3 linked regions of the Drosophila melanogaster genome follow. The protein of the gene in region 1 interacts with the protein of each later gene in a pairwise test. Each region holds a gene or a part of one and is shown in the gene's direction. Other genes may lie near its edges.

Evidence for each region.
Region 2: the proteins of Mal-A2 (region 1) and CG4836 interact in a two-hybrid assay, tested with the Drosophila melanogaster proteins (one large-scale study listed by BioGRID).
Region 3: the proteins of Mal-A2 (region 1) and Cyp6a19 interact in a two-hybrid assay, tested with the Drosophila melanogaster proteins (one large-scale study listed by BioGRID).

What each region holds. Positions count from the first base shown.
Region 1 is NT_033778.4:8,450,775-8,457,829, forward strand, and holds Mal-A2 (maltase A2), read left to right. Parts: upstream 1-2,852; 5' UTR 2,853-2,874; coding exon 2,875-4,376; intron 4,377-4,437; coding exon 4,438-4,566; intron 4,567-4,625; coding exon 4,626-4,698; 3' UTR 4,699-5,008; downstream 5,009-7,055. Other genes in the region: Mal-A1 (maltase A1), read right to left, coding at 1-1,110; Mal-A3 (maltase A3), read right to left, coding at 5,169-5,235, 5,298-5,441, 5,507-6,872, 6,935-7,055.
Region 2 is NT_033777.3:20,011,035-20,019,806, forward strand, and holds CG4836 (uncharacterized protein), read left to right. Parts: upstream 1-3,091; 5' UTR 3,092-3,196; coding exon 3,197-5,723; intron 5,724-5,787; coding exon 5,788-5,982; intron 5,983-6,043; coding exon 6,044-6,824; intron 6,825-6,880; coding exon 6,881-7,052; 3' UTR 7,053-7,214; downstream 7,215-8,772. Other genes in the region: MED25 (mediator complex subunit 25), read left to right, coding at 1-617; CG17190 (uncharacterized protein), read right to left, coding at 846-1,559, 2,357-2,416; PIG-L (phosphatidylinositol glycan anchor biosynthesis class L), read right to left, coding at 7,952-8,133, 8,195-8,284, 8,431-8,721.
Region 3 is NT_033778.4:14,874,189-14,880,915, forward strand, and holds Cyp6a19 (cytochrome P450 6a19), read left to right. Parts: upstream 1-3,597; 5' UTR 3,598-3,611; coding exon 3,612-4,698; intron 4,699-4,752; coding exon 4,753-5,177; 3' UTR 5,178-5,345; downstream 5,346-6,727. Other genes in the region: Cyp6a17 (cytochrome P450 6a17), read left to right, coding at 1-875, 936-1,357; Cyp6a23 (cytochrome P450 6a23), read left to right, coding at 1,673-2,759, 2,825-3,246. UniProt on the Drosophila melanogaster protein: May be involved in the metabolism of insect hormones and in the breakdown of synthetic insecticides.

The sequences.
Region 1 (7,055 bases):
TCGGGAGGCTACTCGCTTGTTGTCGTGGTTGCCCAGCACCCAATTGGCATAAACGCCCTCGGGCATGGCGTCCATCCACTTCTTAATATGTTCTACGTACTCTCCGGCCTTAGAGGCGTTGTTGATGCTCGTAAGGAAGTCAAAGTTGAAGGGAATGTGGGAGCCATTCCTGACTCCATTTCCATAGTAAGTCATGATGTTTTCAAAGCTGGTGTACGCCTCCGTCATCAGCAGCCTCTTATCTCCGCCGTTCTCCACATGAAACTCATCCACCAACTCACGCCACTGGTACACCATGTCAATTGTTTCCGGCATGTCCTGTGTATAGATGTGCTGCGTGTAGCAGTGGTCATCGGGGTCGGGACAGTTCACGGAGTCGTTGGTCAGAGGCTCGTCCGGATACTGGTTGTAGCGATCGAGATCCACCTCAAACAAGTAGGGAACTGCATCTATACGGAATCCGGATACTCCCTTTCCCAGCCAGAAGCGAATAACGTTCTTCATCTCGTTAACCACGGCCGGATTGCGATAGTTGAGGTCGGCCTGCTGGATGGCGAACTGGTGGAGGTAGTACTGCTGACGCACCTCGTTCCACTCCCAGGCGCTGTAGCGAAACTCAGAGTTCCAGTTGCTCGGCGGCTCCCGCTCACCGGTCTCGTTGTTGATCTTGCCATCGTGCCAGATGTAGAAGTCTTTGTAGACGGGGTCACTGTCCACAGACTTGGTGAACCATTCGTTTTCGGTACTTGAGTGGTTTGGTACGAAGTCCAGGATGATTTTAATGCCCACCTCCTTGGCCTTGGCGATCATTCGCTCAAAGTCCTCCATGGTTCCATATTCGGGATGGATCTGGTAGAAGTCCGATATGTCGTAACCAAAGTCGACCATGGGCGACTTGAATATGGGCGACAGCCATGTGCCCGTGAAGCCGATGTCTTTCAGGTACTGCAGCTTTTCAGTGACCCCGTTCAGGTCGCCAATGCCGTCTCCGTCGGAATCCCGGAAGGAGCGCGGGTAGATCTGGTAGTAGTTTCCACTCTCCCACCACTCGGTGGCTCCCACGAAGCCAACGATGGCCAGTAATAGACACGCAGCTGATTGCGGGCGCATTTTGATCGATTTTGTTCGGGCTGGAGAGCTGACAGTGCCTTTTATACTAGTCGATAAGGTGGCTCCAATCGAGATCTGGCCATTTTGAGTGGCCATTTGAATTGCTGTGCAAACAGCTCCCATGAGTTCTCAGGGTGCTCGAGTCGAACCGAAACTGTCATTGTTTTCGTACTCCCAGCGAAGCTTTACGTAAAGCGATTAGCCCACTCCCGAATGTCTTCTGATTGCTGGAAAAATACCGATTTTTGCGACAAATATCATCCGGAATTATTTGTATACCCGTTACCGGTAAGTGTAAGCAGGTATACAGGTTCGGCGAAAATAAGGTATAATATCGGAATTATGGGAAATAAGAGAGCCAAACAGTTGAGAATACGGCTTTTGCTTCTAGAAAAGCAAACACATCTAGAGATAGTTCCAAAAGATTGCCACACGCTATACATTTAAACTAAATATGAAGTGAATTAAATTTTACATTCTGCTGCTGGGTTCCACTCTGAGACCGAAGGTTTTCTGTTTGCAATTTGAGTAATGGGTAACATATAGCGCAGCACCTGTCTTTTCTGTTCCTCCTTGTTTTTGTTATGGTAGGCCTTTCAAGTGGACATTAGTCACCTGATAATAGCGCAGACAAATCCTACTCCTTCAACTACAAGCAAACAAGCAACAAGCTGGAAAACCATGATTAATTAACACTTAACAATGCTGTGGAAATGTTTAAAAGATAACCTTGTGGAAGTTTTGGGGGCATTTTAATCGCGTGACAATACATAATCATCGTTGCAATACGGCCTAAACTGTTGTCAGTATCAGCGTAGGTCGACATTCATATGATAAGCGTTTTCGAGGAAAATATTTCCTGCGTTTATCTAACTCTATAAAAATGTCATATTTTACTCGCAGTAACTTGTACAGTACAGTAACTTGTAAAGTCCACTTAAGATTGTCCGTCCGCCTGTCTGTCAATTACAATAAATGCATCCTTCATCAGGTTGCGTTAGTGTAGTAAACTACCTTAAAAGGTAACTCAAAATATACATGTATTTGTTAGCTATATTGATTGTATGAAACCACAGATGGTTTAGATAGTACCCGTACCTCAAAAAGCTTATCATGAAAAATACAAAAACATCCTTTGAATTGTGGCTAGAGTGGTATCAAGAATTCTACATGCAATTTATGATTTCATCTTTTGTGAACTCTGGAGCATATTGAGGTGGAATTGTAAAGGTAAAGCCTAAATGGTGACCTAATTAGTATTATAAATCTAAACATTTTTTGTTGTCGAGAAAAAAGCATATGGTATATCAAAAGTATTTTGGCCGTGCACGCATTATTGCCCATTTATTATCTGTCTTGCTCAAATACACTGAAATATGTTTGTAGTAATTTTTATAAATTGTAAAATATATTATATTCTATAAATTCTATATTATATTTGTAATTAAACCCGTTACCCTACGAATATAAATACTAAAAGATATTGATGCAGCTTGTGATTCTCAGGCCAGTCATCAATTTATAACTTTAACAAACGTACTTTATTGCACTTTTACGACATTTCGCGGTCTAATGGAATGCCCAACAAAAAAGAGAGCATTCGAGAGCGGGAAAGACCAGTCCACTGTTATTTAATCTAGCAAATATGCGATAAAACTGATAGATTACCAGTTGGCCGGTGCAATTGTGCCTTATCGACTGCTCAATCGCTACATGGCAATTGGTATTAGCAAATTGAGTTTGGCCCACTCAAACGCTATCGAAATGCCAAAGTGGGCACATCTCGGGCTAGCAGCTCTCCTTCTAATTTCCACCACCCAGGAGGGTACTGCAGATATCGATTGGTGGGAGAACGCCTCGCTGTACCAGATATATCCGCGCTCCTTCCAGGACAGCGATGGCGATGGCATCGGGGACCTGAAAGGCATTACTTCGAGATTGGGCTACCTCAAGGAAATAGGCATCACGGCCACCTGGCTGTCGCCCATTTTTACCTCGCCCATGTCGGATTTCGGCTACGACATCTCTAACTTTTATGACATCGATCCGATTTTCGGCACTCTCGAGGATTTCGATGACCTTATAGTGGAGGCCAAGTCGCTGGGCGTTAAGATCATTCTCGACTTTGTACCCAACCACTCGAGTGACGAGAACGTGTGGTTTGAAAAGTCCGTGAATCGCGAAGATGGCTACGACGACTTCTACGTGTGGGACGATGGAAAACTGAATGAGGAAACTGGTGCAAGAGATCCTCCATCTAATTGGGTCAGTGTGTTCAGCGGACCCATGTGGACGTGGAACGAGAAGCGCCAGCAGTACTTCCTGCACCAGTTTCAGGTGAAGCAGCCGGATCTAAACTTTACCAATCCAATGGTCAGGGAGCACATGCTGGATGTCTTGAAGTTTTGGCTGGACCGCGGAGTTGATGGATTTCGTATCGATGCAGTTCCACACATCTACGAGCACCGCAATGCAGACGGATCCTATCCGGATGAACCGGTTAGCGGTTGGGGCAGTGACCCCAACGCCTACGACTACCATGATCACATCTACACCAAGGACCAGCCGGCCACGGTGGATCTCATGTACGAATGGCGTGAGTTTTTGGACAACTATCGGGCGCAGAATGGAGGCGATTCACGGGTTCTCCTGGCCGAGGCCTATTCTTCCGTGGAGACACTAAGTGCTTACTTCGGAAACAGCACCCATCAGGGTACCCAGCTGCCCATGAACTTCCAGTTGATGTATCTCAGTGGATACTCCACCGCCAAGGATGTTGTGGGATCTATCGACTACTGGATGAATACCATGTGGAAGGAGCACCAGACGGCCAATTGGGTTGTTGGTAATCACGATACCAACCGAGTGGCCGATCGTATGGGAGCTCACAAAGTGGATCTACTAAATGTGATTGTAAACGCCCTGCCAGGTGCTTCGGTAACCTACTACGGCGAGGAAATTGGCATGTCCAACGTGGACGTGGAGTGCACCGGCGACTCTTGCGAGGATCGCGATGGGGAGCGCACGCCCATGCAGTGGACGGCTGGAAAGAATGCCGACTTCTCTGATGGGGAGTCCACCTGGCTGCCTCTAAGTCCCGAATATCAACGGTACAATGTGCAGACTGAACGCGGTGTTTCCAGATCTTCCCTGAACATCTTTAAGGGTCTTCAAGAACTTAAGAGCAGTTCCGCCTTTCTTGCGTTCAAAGAGGATGGAGGTTTCTCCTACGAGGCGGTGACGGAACAGGTTCTACAGATCATTCGGTACGTGAAGCAAATCCTCTTCTAATCCTCTTGCTGATCCTAATATCCTGATATCCTACAGCACAAACAAGATCAGCGAGGAGTATCGAATCCTGGTCAACATGGGCAACGGTATGGAAATCCTCGATGGGCTCGCCCCCAAAACCTACGAGTATGTGCTGGCCACTGCCTACTCCACACACTATTCGGGGTAGGTTTTCTCTACTTTCTTGATTTCTATACTTTTAACTAACTTAAAACGATTTACAGGCAAAAAGCAGATCTGTCACAGAGAATCATTCTCATGCCCTACGAAGCAGTCGTTCTACGCTGGTTGGCTTAACTTCTTGTACTTATTTTGTTGTATCAAGAATTACTTCTTTAGTTCGTGTTAATCAGTACGAATGCCACTGGGGTCCCTAATAAAGATAGGCCCTGTTTCGACATATGTTTTCCCAGAAATATATTAAACCGAACTTTGAATGCCAATTACCACATCTAGATTTTATAGACACCCACTTAAGATATAGGCATTTGGCCTGAGCTGTCGCTTGGTTATCGCTATGGATTAATCTGCGAATAAACGTGATCGATAGTAATCGTACGAATTTAGTTATTGCCTAAATGGCCAATAAATTAAATGGCTATTATTCAAAACTTCCAGTGGGTCTGTTTCTAATCAGTGCTTATACAAGTTGGCATGGGGCCATCGTATAGATAAGCACAGTTAGTTAAGTAATCCAACCCTATTAAAGAAGTTATGCGATCAAAATATTTTTGTGTTATTCTTTATTAAGGATCTAATATATTAGTTTAAACTGTGCTCAGCACAACTGCTTCCTTGGGCAACAGCAGCACGGAGTTGGCAAAGGTGAGGTCGCTAAAAGGATAAAATAGTTAGTGTTGTATGTTTAAAGATATTTTATGGTGTCTAGTGCTTACTTCTTGCGACGCACACTCTTATCATTCACCACCACATATTGCAGTTGCGTGGTTATGGAGGTGAAGACAGAGTCCAAGTTGATCGATTCCACATCATCGTTGATGTTGATGAGGGTGATGTACGACTTGTAGCCCGCCAAAGATCTGTTGACAAGGAAAACCGGTCAATATCCAGTCTTTGTGTAAGTTCTATGATTGTTCCAGCTTACCGCTTGAAGGCCAGCACATTTGGACCAATGGCTGTTACGGAGACATCACCCTGCTTCAAAGTAGGCTCATCACGCAGAGCCCGCAGCTGCTTGTAGACGTTCAGGTGGCTAAGGGCTATTCCACGCTCCTTCTTCACATTGACCAACTTGTAGTTGCTGGCCACAGGCAGCCAGGTTACCGAGGCGTTGGAGAACCCGGCGTTGACCTCGTCGCTCCACTGGAATGGAGTGCGCACTGGGTCGCGAGTGAGGCGCTCAAACTCCTGTTCGTTCGATTGGCAGGCTTGAGGGTCCACGGTGTCCTCCCAGCTGATCCAAACGTCGGTCATACCCATCTCCTCGCCCTGGTAGGTCACACTCACGCCGGGCAGGCCCAGTATGATCATGTTGCAGGCGTCGATGCGATCGGCGCCCAATCGGGAGCCAATGCGACTCTGGTCGTGGTTGCCGAACACCCAGTTAGCCACCTGACCTTCTGGCATGTTGTCCAGCCAGTTGTGGATCAGCTCCGAGTAATGGTAGGCATCGGAGCTGTAGCTGATCTTGGCCAGCAGCTCGAAATTGAAGGGGATCTGGGAGCCCAGGTGAGTGCCATTTCCATAGTACTGCATCAAAACTTCCAGAGGAGAGTAGGCCTCGGTGAGCAGGACGCGGTCGTCGCCACCCAGCTCGGCGTCTATTTCCTCGATCACATCGCGGAAAGCGTAAACCAGCTCCAGGGTCTCGGGTTGATCGGTGGTGTAGATGTGCTGCAGGTAAGTGTAGTCCTCGGGATCGCTCACCGCCTCGTTCCGCGGTTCATCGGGCCAGTTGCCGTCGGCATCAGCTGGAATTTCGTAGACATGAGGAACGGCGTCGATGCGGAAGCCGTAAGCCCCCTTTCGCAGCCAGAAGCGCAGTACATCCTTCATGGCTTCAACAACCTTGGGGTTGCGGTAGTTTAGATCGGGCTGTTTGGCGTGGAATTGGTGGAGGTAGTACGCCTGCCGTTGCTCGTTCCAGGTCCACATGGATCCGCGGAACACGGAGACCCAGTTGGTGGGTGGCTGGCGGATTCCGTTGACCACCTTGCCGGTGTGCCAAACATAGAAATCCTTGTACTCCTCCTCGCCAGCTGCCGATCGTATGAACCAGTCGCACTCGTCACTGGTGTGGTTGGGCACAAAGTCCAGAATGATTTTGATGTCCAGCTCTTTGGCGCGCGCAAGCAGGGCCTCGAAATCCTCCATTGTGCCGAATATGGGATCAATACCCTTAAGATCAGCCACATCGTAGCCGAAATCAGCCATGGGTGAGGTGAAGATCGGGGAAAGCCAGGTGGCTGTGATGCCAATTTCCTTTAGGTAAGGCAGCTGTTGCGTAATACCTAAGTGCAAGAGTGAAGTAAGATAATAGCCTAAGTAGTACGCTTTCGACCCGCCTACTCACCTATGAGATCTCCCACGCCGTCGCCATCGCTATCCTTAAAAGATCTGGGATAGATCTGGTAGAACTGACCCGTCTTCCACCAGCCAACCTCCGCCAGCGAAGGTAGAGCCAAAGCCAAAAG
Region 2 (8,772 bases), on another chromosome or scaffold:
TGGAACGTCTGCGCAAAGTCATACAGCAAAAGCAGCACGGCAACATGCAACAGCAGCAGCAACAGCAGCAAATGATGCAGCAGCAAGGCAAGTCGCCCATGGAGCTGCAGCAGCAACAGCAACAACAACAACAGCAGCAACAGATGCAACAGGATAACTCGCAGCAGCAACACTACAACCAGTTCCAACTCAATATGCAGATGGGTGGTGGAGGTCCTGGCGGCGGACCTGGTCCCGGTCCCGGCGGCATGCCCATGCAACAGAATCAAATGCAGATGAACATGATGCAGCAACAGCGAATGCCACTGGGCGTAGGTGTTGGCGTGGGTGTTGGTCCCGGTGGCGTGCCCAATCCAAACCTCCAGCAGCAGTTGCAACAAGTGGCGCCAAACGTCGCCGCAATGCAGCAGCAGCAGGCGCAACAGCAGCAGCAGCGCATGGTGCGTCCCATGATGAGCAACAACAACCCGGGGCTGCGCCAGCTCTTGCAGCACCAGACCACGCCAGGCAATCAGTTCCGGCCGCAAATGGGTGGCCAGAATCCCAATCAAATGGGAGCAGGCGGTCCAATGGTCGGCAATCGCAACTTTGACGACGGAAACTATGAGTTCATGTAGGCTACTTAAGAGTATCGTATAAAAAACCAGAATTAAGACAGTAAAATATTTTATAAAATCCAACTGCAAGTCTTTTTTGGGGTAGTGGCAAAATCTATTTCCCAAAATCGAAATATTAATTTCTCCATTTTCATAACATTTCGTTTATTTAATTAGTAAGAATCAAGGGAAATCCGAATTTGCACAAGACTTATATTAATCACAGAACATAATCTCCGAGAAAGTCCACTAGTTTGCTCCACCGCCGCCGCCCCCCGAGGATGCGGAACTTGCACTTCCAGCGCTAGCGGCAAACACCTTGCGAAGATTCTGCAAGATGCTGAACAGAACCGTTCCCGCGCTGCCCAACGTTTCCAGAACATCGAATCCGGTGCTGTCGATGGCTGTCTCCCGATCCTCCTCCGTTTCGATGGCCGGGGAGCTGATGTTCCCGCCATTGTGGTGAGTTTCGTGGACGCCATGGTGTCCAATCAGCCGATGAGTATTGCTCTTCACATGGGAGTCGTTCACGCCGCCACCGCCAACTGTGTTTATCAGGTGCTTCACCGGCTCCAGGACCGGAATATTTAGCTTAATGCGATGCCATGCATCCGCAGTTTCGGTGAAGCCCTCATGCTGCTCGCCAGTGGCCTTCATCTCATCATCCAGCTGGTTTCGCTCGCTGACCGGATCGTCGTCCGTCTCCAGGGACAGCTCCAGACTCATGTTTCCCTTACCAGGCAGTTGCAACAAACTGCCGAAGAGCTGTTGCAGATGCGCCGAGTTGGTGGCCTCCGCCTCATTCTGCTCGAAATCGAACTCTTCACGTACTCCCGACTTGGGCTTCTGGTTCACAAAGCTGGTCACATGCAGCATTCCATTCTTGGTGCCAGAATCACTGGAGTTGGTGGGCTTGGCGGACGTCGTCGTCGTCGTCGTCGTCAGCAGTAGCAGCCACAAAAACTGCAGATACATTCGGAGAAATGGAATCTATAATTGGCGCTTAATGACCGGCTGCACGTACGTTAATGAATATTGAGTATGACCGGTAATAAGGCTTTCTATATTCAAATCCCAACGCGCACGCGTCACTGGACCTTGAATTTGGTTGAATAAGATATGGCTGCTTTACAAATCAAAGATGAGGTTTCTAAGTTATGATATGTGCCCATCTATACACTTAGAGAAAAAACCGTTCTCAAAGATCTCGATTTGAAAATTTTGATCTCAAAATTCTGCCAAGATTGAATTATGCTTCGATAGAGATCGATCCATTCTTAGATTACAATTGACTTTGCTCTCATTTTGTCAGTCTTTCCATTACGTTCCTTTTACACAATCATAAACCTGATACTTCTTCCCTCTGAAAATATTAAAATTGAGATCGTTTTCGTCTCGAAATCAAGAAGAAATCTTCTCATGATTTATGATAAATGCCACTGAGTGACGTTCTTAATTTTTCTGGGTGTATGGTGGTTGCTTCAAAAAGTCATAGGGTCCGATCGGAAGAGGGTCTGATTATATTCTTACTAATAGCCAGAGATTATAGTTTAAAGTTTTAAGCAAAGCTTTGTGTGGTTATACCTTGTATACGAAGGTGATCCCTAATGTGCAACCAAACTCTATACTCTATTCATGACCTACACCATTTTCTTGAATAGTTAGCTCATGAGTCACTTATTTGTTTAAAAAAAACCCACATTATGAATTTAGACATCGCCAAGTTCCCTAATTATCGGCAATGCCAAGTGTTTGCTTACATTAAAAAACACAATAAGACATATGGAACTACTAAGTGTGGAGCTGGCCAATCGCAACATTGTCAATGGAATCACGGATCTAGCTCTTGGCTAGAAATCGAAACTAAAACCGAACCGAAACAGAAACTGAAACCGCTGCCAGCAAAATCAGAAATCGAACTGAGGCACCAATTGATTGAGTGGGTGACCAGGTGACTAGTGAATCAATTAATATGCAGCAACGGTAGGGGCAATTGTGGTACCTAAATTTAATTCAAAATGCATTTAGAGGCCCCCAAAAAAGTCGGTTCTTCGAGTTTTTGGAGTGACAGCATTTATGGGATTATATCTGCAGCAAATAGGTTGCAGTAATCTTCCTTATTTTCAAGGACTTGCCAAACGAATCGATTGTGGAATCTTATAGAAATTTCGGGAAAGCAGTAGGCTAGCGAATTTTAGTTCATAATCTCGTTTGGCTTACTGGCCCAGTCTGAAAACATAGCCCAGTGCTAGTACACAACCTTTTGTAAACCTACAAAAAAAATTCCACCAAAATTCAAAATTCAAAGTTTTTAGTTTTTGGCCTTTCAGCACAAGTGAAAAATTAAGTAGTATGCGCTTATTTGGCAGAGTAACCAACATTTTACAGGTACAGTACATTTGAATTAAGGCTAAAACCTAAAATCAGTAGGCCCTTTACTTTTACGTTAGACATTTGGTTAGCTTTTACACCATTTTTCCTTGCTACGTCTTACACTACACAACATTTTGGTTTCTTTCCTTTCTCAAAACTGAAATTCTACCGTGTGTTAACTTATGTATTCCTGAATCAAGTCAAAAATTTGTACATAAAAAGAAAAAATGCCAGGCATATTCGGGAAGTTCCCGACTAACCGTCTCGGACTTAATCTCCTCCAGATATCTAGATGCGTTAGCTACCATGCTCCGCTATACCGACCGCGCAGCCTACTCCATGCAGAACGGTTGAGGCAACTATGCACCAGTGCCTCCTCCGGATCAAAGTCTAGCCGGAGGACGAATCATCCGTGTCGCGTCCGGGTGCAGAGGTACTCCCAAAAGGGTAGCAATGTGTTCTCGGTCAGCGATAACGTGGATATGCTGCGCAAACGGATTAGCTTTTCCGGCAACTCGAGCAATGCGCCCAAGATCATGCCCATTGGACTGATTACACCGGAAACGGGTGATGGCAAGGATCTGAAGATAGTCATTGTGCCCTTGGATCTGTCTGGCATGGATGGCAACGAACTCAAGGACACGCTGGAAACCATCAACAAGTTGCGCTTGTACGCCAACCACATCGAGACCTTCTCCAACAGCATGGTCGAGGAATACGGTGCCTTGAACGAGGCCCTGCAGGAAGTGGAATCGGGCGGTCAGCCCCAAGAAGTCAAGGCCGGGGCGAGTGCCGAGGACCGCAAATTTTGGGAGGCCTTCCCATCCACGCCAACGGCGGACGCTGTGGGAACCGCACTGGATGCGGGTCAGGGTGCCAACATGCCAATGCAACGCCAGACGGCAGTCAATAGTTGCCTGCAAAACGCTGTGGGTAACTCAGCTATCAACTCTGCTCTGAAAACCACCAAATCCATGTCGGCCATGGCCCAGACGGAACCCATCCATGGCTCAACCAAGGCATCTAATCTCCAAGAGCTCGCCAACCAAGAGAGCGACTTCGTCGAGGAGGTGCGAGTGGATGTGCCGCAGGATTTGAGCAATCGCCTCAACGATATGGCCGTTTCGTCGATGGAGCTGTCCTTCGAAATGGATATGACCAATCTGCGGCAGGCTCTGGAAAGCAAGGACAAGAATGCAGTAACTCCACAGGATCCCATGATCTGTATGCACACAAAGGTGGAATTGGATGCGCCTGGCACTGTGGAGAAAACGCTGCCGCTTAGGTTCAACGCCTTGATCTCGGGCGTAGTGGAGATCGATACCCAGAAGTTGAGCCCCGCCCAGATAACGGAGGACAAAATGCCCGGCTTCAACGATGACCTCACCTCGCTGGCTGCCAACCTTTGCAGTACCGCCTTGGAGAAAGGTTTCGCAGGAAAATCCTCAGATACCTACATCGCGGACCTGGAACTGACCAAGGATGAGGAGACTATTCCTAATAGGATCATCGATACTTCCCATATGTCGGCGGCTAATCAAGTTGGTCAAGTGCGGGAATCCCTGCAGAAGATAGCCGAGGAAGCGTGTGCCATGCCCGGCATTCAGGAGCAAGAGGTGCCAGTTCCGGTGGACAAAGACGGCTGCAAGCATCCGCCCGTGAAACCCAAGCGCAAATGTCCTGGAAAGTGTCCTCTAATCACAGATCCCTGCAAGGAGGATCCCTGCGAGCGGCCTGCAAAGAAGAAGGCACCCAAAAAGAAGGCGTTGAAGACCACTGAGATCACGTGCAAGGGAAAGGGCGGCGGAAAGAGTGCTTGCGGCAAGGATAAGAAGAAGGATCCGTGTGGCAAGAAGGACACTAAGAAAAAGGACCCTTGTGCTAAGTTCAAGTCTGGCGAGAAGAAGGATCCGTGCGCCAAGAAAAAGGATCCCTGTGCCAAGAAGAAGGCAGATCCCTGTGCCAAAAAGAAGGCAGATCCCTGTGCCAAGAAGAAGAAGGATCCATGTGCTAAGAAGAAGGCAGATCCCTGCGCCAAGAAGAAGAAGGATCCTTGTGCCAAGAAGAAGGCAGATCCCTGTGCCAAGAAGAAGAAGGATCCTTGTGCCAAGAAGAAGGCAGATCCCTGTGCCAAGAAGAAATCCTCTTGTGCCAAGAAAGATGACAAAAAGAAGGATCCTTGCGCCAAGTTCAAGAAGGGCGGTAGTGGCGGCAAGAGCAAATGCAAGTTCTCCACCGTTGCTAACCTACCGGATGCAAGCAGGCGCCACTTGTCCACCGCCTTGAGCCAAGCTTTCCGTGAATCGAATAGTGTTTCAAATGGTCCCCGCTTCAAAGTCTACTCCACTCTTGTGCGCCGTCACTATCGTGTCCCTGTTCCGAAGATTGAGAGCTCTTGCCAGTGCTCGCTTTGCACGAGTCGGCTGCTCCACAAAGCAGTTGCTCCGGCCCGATTCACCATCAACACGGCCCTTATGAGAAGACGCTTCGGTGGACTTGCGGGAAGGATCTCCGGTGGAGCCCTGCAGCACATCAGCTATCGCGGATACGCCAAGAAGAGCAAATCCGGCGGCAAGTGTGGCGAATTGCAGACCAAATACCCCATTAATCGTGGCAAGGACATTAAGGAGCGAACGGGACTGCGCGAGGATTGCTTCAGCGACGAAGACAGCTGTCCAAAGAAAAGCTGCACCGGCAAATGCGCCAAGGTCAAGTTCCCGAAAAAGAAATGCGATCGCAAGAAGAAAAAGGATGGTGCGTAGTCATGTGATAGTGTATAGTTGCTCAGTTCCCTCAGGTCAATCATCCTGTTCCCAAGACAGAATAGGCAATCTCTTGACCCGGAGTTCTATTGCCCAGCTGCAGCCGCAGAGAAGATCATTTAGCACGCGGCCATGTTGCCATCCATCCTCTGAAAAGCGCACCGCGGATGATGAAGCACTTACGCTGCGCATAACGAATCCCTACGAGATCAGCGTGGTTCCCTTTTCCAAGCCGCGACCAAAGGACTTTGGTAGGTGATGGTTTATCCTTCAGTTGAAAGCATTATAATCGGTCACTTGATTCTCGTACAGACGTCCTCATTCGAACGGGCTCAGTGGCTGTCTCCAACTCGGACATCCACGTCTATGAGAACGGCAATCGGGACATGGAAGCCATGTCCCTGGGCCATGATGCGACGGGTATTGTGGAGGAACTCGGTCGATGCGTCCAGCATCTGCATGTGGGTGACCGGGTCGTCATGGAGTCGGCGTTATCCTGCGGCATCTGTGATCTATGCAAGAAGGGCCTGTACAACATGTGCTCCGGGTTGGTGTACAACGGCTTCCTAAGCACCTACCAAACGCATCCAGCCGACCTTTGTCACCGCCTTCCAGAGTCCATCAGCATGGAGGCGGGTGCCCTGACGCAGACACTAGCACTGGGGTGCCAGGCGTGCTTCAAGGCCAATGTCACGCCCACCAGCAACGTCCTCATCCTGGGAGCCTGCCCAACGGCTGTGGCGGCCGGCATATGCGCAAAGGCCATCGGGGCCAAGCGTGTGGCCATTGCCGGATGTATGGCTCCGGCTCTGGATGTGGTCGCCCGGGACTTCGGCTTCCAAGCAGTCGAGTTCGATAGCAACGCACTGTTCGGAGAGGTCCTTGAAGCCATCTACAGCAAGTTCCGGGATTGGCCGGACTGCGTAATCAACTGCTCCATCTCTGCAATGACGATGAATCTGGCGGTCATGGCTCTGCAGCCATGTGGGGTGTGTGTGCTGGCCGAGTGCGATTCAGAGTGTGCCAGCTTCAATGCTCTGGACGTACTGATGAAGAACATCCGCCTAGTGCCCAGTTTTCGTTCCGCCAATATGTGGGTACACCAGAATTTCCATGTCTAACCATTTAGTTATCCTCTTATCTTCGCAGGTATCCGACTGCTCTACAACTCATGCAATCTGGTCGAGCACATATGCAAAAATTCATAACGGCCACGTATCCCCTGAGCAAGGCGGACGAGGCGTTCCGAGCTGCCCAGCACGAGTCCAACATTGGGCTGGGCAAGGTGATTGTTAACTGTGCGGAAGAAGTGGACGTCTAGGCGATTCGGAGGAGAAGTTCCGAGCCGGCATTGGATAAATTTATGGTGGAAAAAACTGTGTGAAGGCCAAAAACGAAACAACTTATTCTAATTGAAGTTAATTCTGTGTTTTCGACTTCAAATTCGGAATTAGAATAAAACAATAGATTTAAGTATTGCAACAAAAAATCGTCTCGCATTTTACTAAGTTCTGCGTGGGCCCATAAAACAATGAATTTGAAAGTGCGCTATTAAAATACTTTAAATAATATTTTTCAACAGCATTCTAAAATCTATCCTCTCTGGCTCGTCATAAGATTGGTTTATGTGTGTATACATACATTCATTTATATATTTATGTAAATATATTTTATAAAATTATTATTGTACTTCGCTGCTTACAACAAACTATTTTACAATTTTACAAGAACGAAAGTGACTCACTAAAGGTGTGTATGCTACGGGGGGAAATCAATGTACACAAAACGAAAATGAAAACATAAGCTAACAACAATTAGAATAACGCATACATGTTTAATTTAATTTTAAAGCACTTGACTACATCGCACACTTTGGAACATTGCTTGGACTGAGTATAAATAATAATTAGAGCTAACTAATAAGAATTAAAGATATGCCATTTTATATGTGAGTGTGGAACTAATTAATGGACTGTTTTGTGGTTTCGGTTGCCTATGGTACTGCCGCTTCGCTGATTCTTTGTTCCCTTCGTGGTTTTGGATATAGCTTTCCAATTACTATCGATCGTTTGGCCAACAGTAGTAGTTACATACATATATATACTAGTAGAATCGTCAGAGTTTAAATTAAAAACCACTTGCTCTGCCACTCGGAGCGGAGCATCCGATCATGAAGGTAGTTTGTCTTTTGCAATTCAATCGCTCGCCCTCCTCCTCCTGTTAGTTGTCATGTATCTGCATTTCCAACTCCACATCCGAGAGATTTATCTGACGCATCGAATTGATAAACATGTAGCGCGAGAAGTAAATGTAGAGCCAGCGAAACCATCGCATCTGCGACTGATGCTCCATCATCGCACTCCTCACAATCGCAGCTTCCTTCCAATTCAGTATGCACCTGTGTAATGAAGAACTCATTAGAATTTATATATGAATTCGGCATCACTTATAACACATACCAATGCGTGGACATAAAGCACGTGCACAGCAGGTCCAAGATGGATAGATATTTTCTGACCACATTGATCGAGTCCAAGGTGTAGAATTTACAATCTGCATTGGGAAGGTACATAAAAAATTGCTCTATACTATAATATCTATGGCTATTAATAGCGACAAATGCAGCGATGGGCACGCCAATTAACATGCACCCATTGTTTGCATCCGTCGCCGCCCGCGTGACTCACACGCCTCCTCACCTTTGGGCAAAAGGTTGGCCAAACAGAGCGAGGCGGCCGCGTAATACACGGCACAATGGTTCGGATGCGAGCTGACGCCATCCCGATCAAAAGTGAATATCGCCTGGATGTCGAGGCTTTCGATCGTGTGCAGTATCAAGCTGGCCACTGCATCTGGGCGCCAGTCAACGTAGGGATCGTCCGGCAGGTTGGTGGCATTCATCAGCACGATATTGGACTCGGGAATGCCCAGTTTGGAGCAAGAACGCCACAGTTCCTGACGCCTAACCTTCGCCTTGTGCTCGAAGTTGCCTGTGCGAGAAAGCATTGGATTAATACAGTTCATTTTCAAAAGGATAAGGT
Region 3 (6,727 bases), 6.4 Mb from region 1:
TGGATTTTTCTTCTTTTTCACCCGCACTGCTGTGGTCACCGACATGGAATTGCTCAAGAGGGTGCTGATCAAGGACTTCAATCACTTTGAGAATCGGGGAGTCTTCTACAACGAGATCGATGATCCGCTGTCGGCCACCTTGTTCAGCATCGAGGGTCAGAAGTGGCGTCATCTGCGGCACAAACTGACACCCACTTTTACGTCCGGCAAAATGAAGAACATGTTTCCGATTGTTGTGAAAGTTGGAGAAGAAATGGATAAGGTCTTCAGAAGTAAAACCGCTGCGGATCGGGGTCAAGTTTTGGAGGTTGTGGATCTGGTGGCACGGTACACCGCCGATGTGATCGGCAACTGCGCATTCGGTCTCAATTGCAACAGCTTGTACGATCCAAAGGCTGAATTTGTGTCAATTGGCAAGCGGGCGATCACCGAGCATCGCTACGGGAATATGCTGGATATATTCCTCTTTGGATTTCCCAAGTTATCGCGCCGCTTACGTCTGAAACTAAATATCCAGGAGGCAGAGGACTTTTACACCAAGATCGTGAGGGAAACCATTGACTACCGTCTACGGACGAAGGAAAAGCGAAATGATTTCATGGACAGTCTGATAGAGATGTATAAGAATGAGCAGTCGGGAAATTCGGAGGATGGCCTGACCTTTAACGAACTTCTCGCTCAGGCTTTCATATTTTTTGTGGCTGGGTTTGAGACAAGCTCCACGACCATGGGATTCGCTCTATATGAGCTGGCCAGGAACCAGGATGTTCAGGATAAACTCAGGGAGGAGATTGGCAATGTGTTCGGCAAGCATAACAAAGAGTTCACCTACGAGGGAATCAAGGAGATGAAATACCTGGAGCAGGTTGTGATGGGTATGTTTCTTTAATCCTTCTTATTTTTTATTTGATACATTTATTTAAATATTGTTTTAGAAACGCTGCGAAAGTACCCAGTACTGGCTCATCTTACAAGAATGACTGACACCGACTTTTCGCCTGAAGATCCAAAATACTTCATTGCCAAGGGAACCATTGTTGTGATCCCAGCTTTGGGCATTCACTATGATCCGGACATATATCCGGAACCGGAGATATTCAAGCCAGAACGCTTTACCGACGAGGAAATCGCGGCGAGACCCTCGTGCACTTGGCTTCCATTTGGAGAAGGTCCGCGGAACTGCATTGGTCTGCGGTTTGGAATGATGCAAACCTGTGTGGGCTTGGCCTACTTGATCAGGGGCTATAAATTCAGTGTTTCCCCGGAAACTCAAATACCCATGAAGATTGTCGTTAAGAACATTCTGATATCGGCCGAGAATGGTATCCACCTTAAAGTGGAGAAGCTCGCCAAATAAGTTTTTAACAAATACATTATTTGTGTTCTTTATTTTGCTTGATTCACTTACGTGATCGATTAGATTAGGCTGTGCTCAGTTAATATGAATTTAAGCCCTCTTTAACTAACCTTTTTAATGTGTTATGTGTTAGGCAATGTTTTGATTTGCTAGCAAACATCACATAATAAGGCATACACACACCGAAAGCAATAATATTCGCTTTATCAACTAGCTTCTGAGTACATTTGAAGAGATTAGAAGAGAACGTTCGCGTATAAAGGGGCCATATCATTCCGGTTGGTAACTCAGTGTGGAGCGGACTGAGAACGAAATATGTCGCTGTTACTAACGTTGATCGCACTTCTAGTGTCACTGCTTTTGTTCATGGCCCGCCGACGTCATGGATACTGGCAGAGGCGGGGTATTCCGCACGATGTGCCCCATCCAATATACGGAAACATGAAGGACTGGCCCAAGAAGCGACACATTGCGATGATCTTCCGGGACTACTATACAAAGTACAAACGTTCCGTTTATCCGTTTGCCGGGTTCTACTTCTTTTTCACCCGGTCTGCTGTCATCACCGACTTGGAATTGGTCAAGAGGGTGCTGATCAAGGACTTCAATCACTTTGAGAATCGAGGAATTTTCTACAATGAGATCGATGATCCGCTGTCGGCCACCTTGTTCAGCATCGAGGGTCAGAAGTGGCGTCATCTGAGGCACAAACTGACACCCACTTTTACGTCCGGCAAAATGAAGAACATGTTTCCGATTATTGTGAAGGTTGGGGAGGAAATGGAGAAGATTTTCAGTGCTAAAACCACCACAGGTGAAGGTCAAGTTCTGGAAATTGTGGATCTGGTGGCTCGATATACGGCTGACGTAATCGGTAATTGCGCCTTCGGTTTAAATTGCAATAGTTTGCAAAACCCGAATGCAGAGTTTGTGACAATCGGAAAAAGGGCGATCATAGAACGTCGTTATGGAGGACTATTGGATTTCCTGATATTCGGATTTCCCAAACTTTCCCGCCGCCTGCGGCTTAAACTAAACGTGCAGGATGTTGAGGACTTTTACACTAGCATTGTTAGGAATACTATCGACTACCGATTGAGGACCAACGAGAAGCGTCACGACTTCATGGACAGTTTAATCGAAATGTACGAGAAGGAGCAGGCCGGAAACACTGAGGATGGCCTGTCCTTCAACGAGATCTTGGCACAGGCCTTTATTTTCTTTGTGGCTGGCTTCGAGACCAGCTCGACGACCATGGGATTTGCCCTGTACGAGCTCGCCCTCGATCAGGATATTCAGGATCAACTTAGGGCGGAGATCAACAATGTTCTGAGCAAACACAACAACGAGTTTACCTACGAGGGAATCAAAGAGATGAAGTATCTGGAGCAGGTCGTCATGGGTAAGTAAAATCCCAAGAGGTTGCATAACTTTACCTAAAGGGCCTTTTCCCATTTTACGCCACAGAAACCCTTCGCAAGTATCCAGTTCTGGCGCATCTAACGCGAATGACCCAGACAGATTTTTCGCCTGAAGATCCTAAATACTTTATTGCCAAGGGAACCACTGTTGTGATCCCAGCTCTTGGTATTCACTATGATCCGGAAATCTATCCCGAACCGGAGAAGTTCAAGCCGGAGCGATTTACGGATGAGGCGATCGCCGCGAGACCCTCGTGCACCTGGCTGCCGTTTGGAGAAGGTCCCCGGAACTGCATCGGTCTTCGGTTTGGACTGATGCAGGCCTGCGTGGGATTGGCCTATCTAATCCGAGGCTATAAGTTCAGTGTGTCCACAGAAACACAAATTCCCATGAAGTTTGTCGTGAAAAGCATTCTTCTGTCTGCTGAGAATGGCATTCACCTTAAAGTTGAGAAGCTTTCCAAATGAGACTATAAACAAAATTATTATGGGCTTTAATGGTTAAATATTACAATTTTATTTGGTCATTTATTCACGGCTATATATGATTTTTTTGAATTAAATCCCTCTTAAAGCTCATATTCAGTATATGAGAGTATAGCATTCAAATTAAGCCTTGTTAGTTTGTTGTTGTAAATTTATTGTAAATATTTGTGGTAATACCCTCAATAAATTTTTGTTCAGCTTTTTTGCTATTAGCACCTCTATCTGGAAGTGAACAGTTAAATTTTCTTGGTTACGACTAAAAAAGAGGAGCAGGCGATAGCTAGATGGAAAGCTCTTCTTCATAAAAGCAACGCTTGGAATTGGTTTCTCAAATCAGTCTGCTCAAAATGGCGATCCTGCTCGGTTTGGTGGTCGGTGTCCTTACGCTCGTCGCTTGGTGGGTGCTCCAGAACTACACCTACTGGAAACGGCGAGGAATTCCCCATGATCCACCCAATATTCCGCTCGGCAATACCGGCGAACTTTGGAGAACAATGCCGCTGGCCGGCATCCTCAAGCGAACATATCTGAAATTCAGGAAACAGACCGACGGACCTTTTGCGGGCTTCTACCTCTATGCTATGAAGTACATTGTCATCACGGACGTGGATTTTGTAAAAACCGTGCTAATTCGCGACTTCGATAAGTTTCACGATCGCGGAGTGTATCACAACGAAAAGGATGATCCGCTGACCAATAACCTGGCAACCATCGAGGGTCAAAAGTGGAAAAATCTGCGACAGAAGCTGACCCACACATTTACGTCAGCCAAAATGAAGAGCATGTTTTCCACGGTCTTAAACGTGGGCGATGAGATGATTCGCGTGGTCGATGAAAAGATCTCCAGTTCTTCGCAGACCCTGGAAGTCACCGACATTGTGTCACGCTTCACATCCGACGTAATTGGAATCTGTGCTTTTGGCCTGAAATGCAATAGTCTGCGGGATCCTAAGGCGGAGTTCGTCCAAATGGGCTACTCAGCGCTAAGAGAACGTCGTCATGGTTGGCTGGTAGATCTACTAATCTTCGGGATGCCTAAACTGGCCGTGAAACTGGGTTTCCAGTTCTTGCTTCCCTCGGTGCAGAAGTTCTATATGAAAATCGTGCAGGACACCATAGATTACAGGATGAAGAGAAAGGTGACTCGGAACGATTTCATGGACACGTTGATTGACATGAAACAGCAGTATGATAAAGGCGACAAGGAAAATGGACTTGCCTTCAATGAGGTCGCTGCCCAGGCCTTCGTATTTTTCCTAGCTGGTTTTGAGGCGGGATCCACAACCATGGGATTCACACTTTATGAGCTGGCCTGCAATCAGGATGTTCAGGACAAGTTGAGGGCTGAAATCGACAGTGTGCTGGAAAGGTACAATGGTAAACTGGAATACGATTCTATGCAGGACTTGTTTTATATGGAAAAGGTTATCAATGGTAAGTTATTATAGTTTATTTTTTCATTCTAAACTGTATATGTTATCTGCTTAGAATCGCTAAGGAAACATCCAGTGGTAGCCCACTTGGCTCGCATTGCCACCAAACCGTACCAGCACAGTAATCCCAAGTATTTCATAGAGGCCGGCACTGGAGTGCTGGTGTCCACCCTGGGCATCCATCATGATCCTGAGTTTTATCCGGAGCCGGAAAAGTTTATCCCAGAACGATTCGATGAAGAGCAAGTAAAGAAGCGTCCCACCTGCGCTTTCCTACCCTTCGGAGCTGGTCCCCGAAATTGCATTGGACTCCGATTCGGACGGATGCAGGTCATCATTGGATTGGCCCTGCTAATCCACAATTTTAGGTTCGAATTGCATCCCAAGACGCCAGTGCCAATGAAATACACAATCAATAACCTTTTGCTGGGCTCCGAGGGCGGAATCCATCTCAATATCACCAAGGTAGTGAGAGACTAAAGTGTTATATATTTATTTAATTTCGTTGTTAGTTACTTTGAGTACGTGATTTTTAAAATGTTTTTGTAATGATTTTAAAATATCTTAACTTCTTAAAAATGTTATGTTCATAGATTGCTTCTGCCAAGAAATGCCGAAAGTATTTTTTCTGCAAAAGAGTCTTGTAATAATTATGCAATAATAAGAAGCCTTTAAAAGGCAATATATCACCCAGAAAATAAAAAAACAATTTTTTAAAACCATAAAATGAAAGCCAACTTACAGTAGTTAGTTATCCACAAGCATGCTACTGCGATTAGACACTAATAAGCTTAACATTCTTATAGATATAGAGCAACATTGTTTCTGGAATTCCATATAAAATAGGGACTAATAGATTAAATATTGAAATTTTTAAACGCGTTCAACTTTTAAGAAGATGCCAGTCTCGCTTGATATTAAGAATGTTTTTTTGCTGTATACAATTGGTATTGTTGTTTGTTCGCAAACGGAGAACTTGAACCTATTGATTAGTAAAGCCAATCCACTTCTGGCCTGCATTTGACCAAACCGCATTCCGATGCAGTTCCTGGGACCATCGCCGAATGGAAGCCACTCCACGGAGTCGCGTTCCTTCACTCGTTCGGGCGAGAAGTTGTCTGGGTTAAAGGTGTTTGGATTGGCATACAGTTTCTCATCGCGGTGCATGGCTCCACACGGAATCAAAACGGGCATTCCCTTTTTGATGACGTATTTGGGATGTCCAGGAACCTCATAGTCCTCCAGGCATTCGCGATTCAAGACCGGGAGAACGGTGTACAAGCGAAGGGTTTCTAAAAAAAAACCAAAAGTTAGAAAGGACGGAGAAGACGAGCACATTACATACCCGATATAACCTGATCTAGATAGACCATGTCCTTCATACTTTCGTAAGTTATCTCTCCGTTGTACTTTCCAATAACCTCCTGACACTCCTTCCTCACCCGGTCCTGAATGTCCTGATGCTGGGCCAGTTCATACAGTGCGAATCCCATGGTGGTCGACGAGGTTTCGAAGCCAGCTCCGAAAAACACGAACGCCTGGGCGGCCATTTCCTCGATCGTAAGGTTAACACTTTCCCCAGATTCGGACTTTGTCAGTGGACTGTTCTTTAAATCGATGAGCTGATCCATAAAGTCGTTGCGACGGATGTTGTTCTTCTCCCTAAATGCGACTGTTTCCCTGACGATCCGGAGGAAGAAGTGTTCGGCTTCTTCTAGTGTTATTTTCATGTGCAGTCTGCGTGCCAGATTTTGGAAGCTATTGATGAACGCGATCCCGATCGGTCCGTGGCGTTGTTCGAAGATGGCTCGACGACCCATTACCCTGAACTCTGCCTCTGGATCCTTAAGACTACTGCACTCAATGCCAAAGGCACACGTGCCGATTACGTCGGTGGTGAATCTGGCCAGGATATCCCTAACCTCGACAATGGGAGACTTTTCCATCGCTTGGCCAAAGACTTCGATGAATTCATGACCCACCTTTACGACGGTGGGAAACATATACTTCATTTTACCCGACGTAAACGT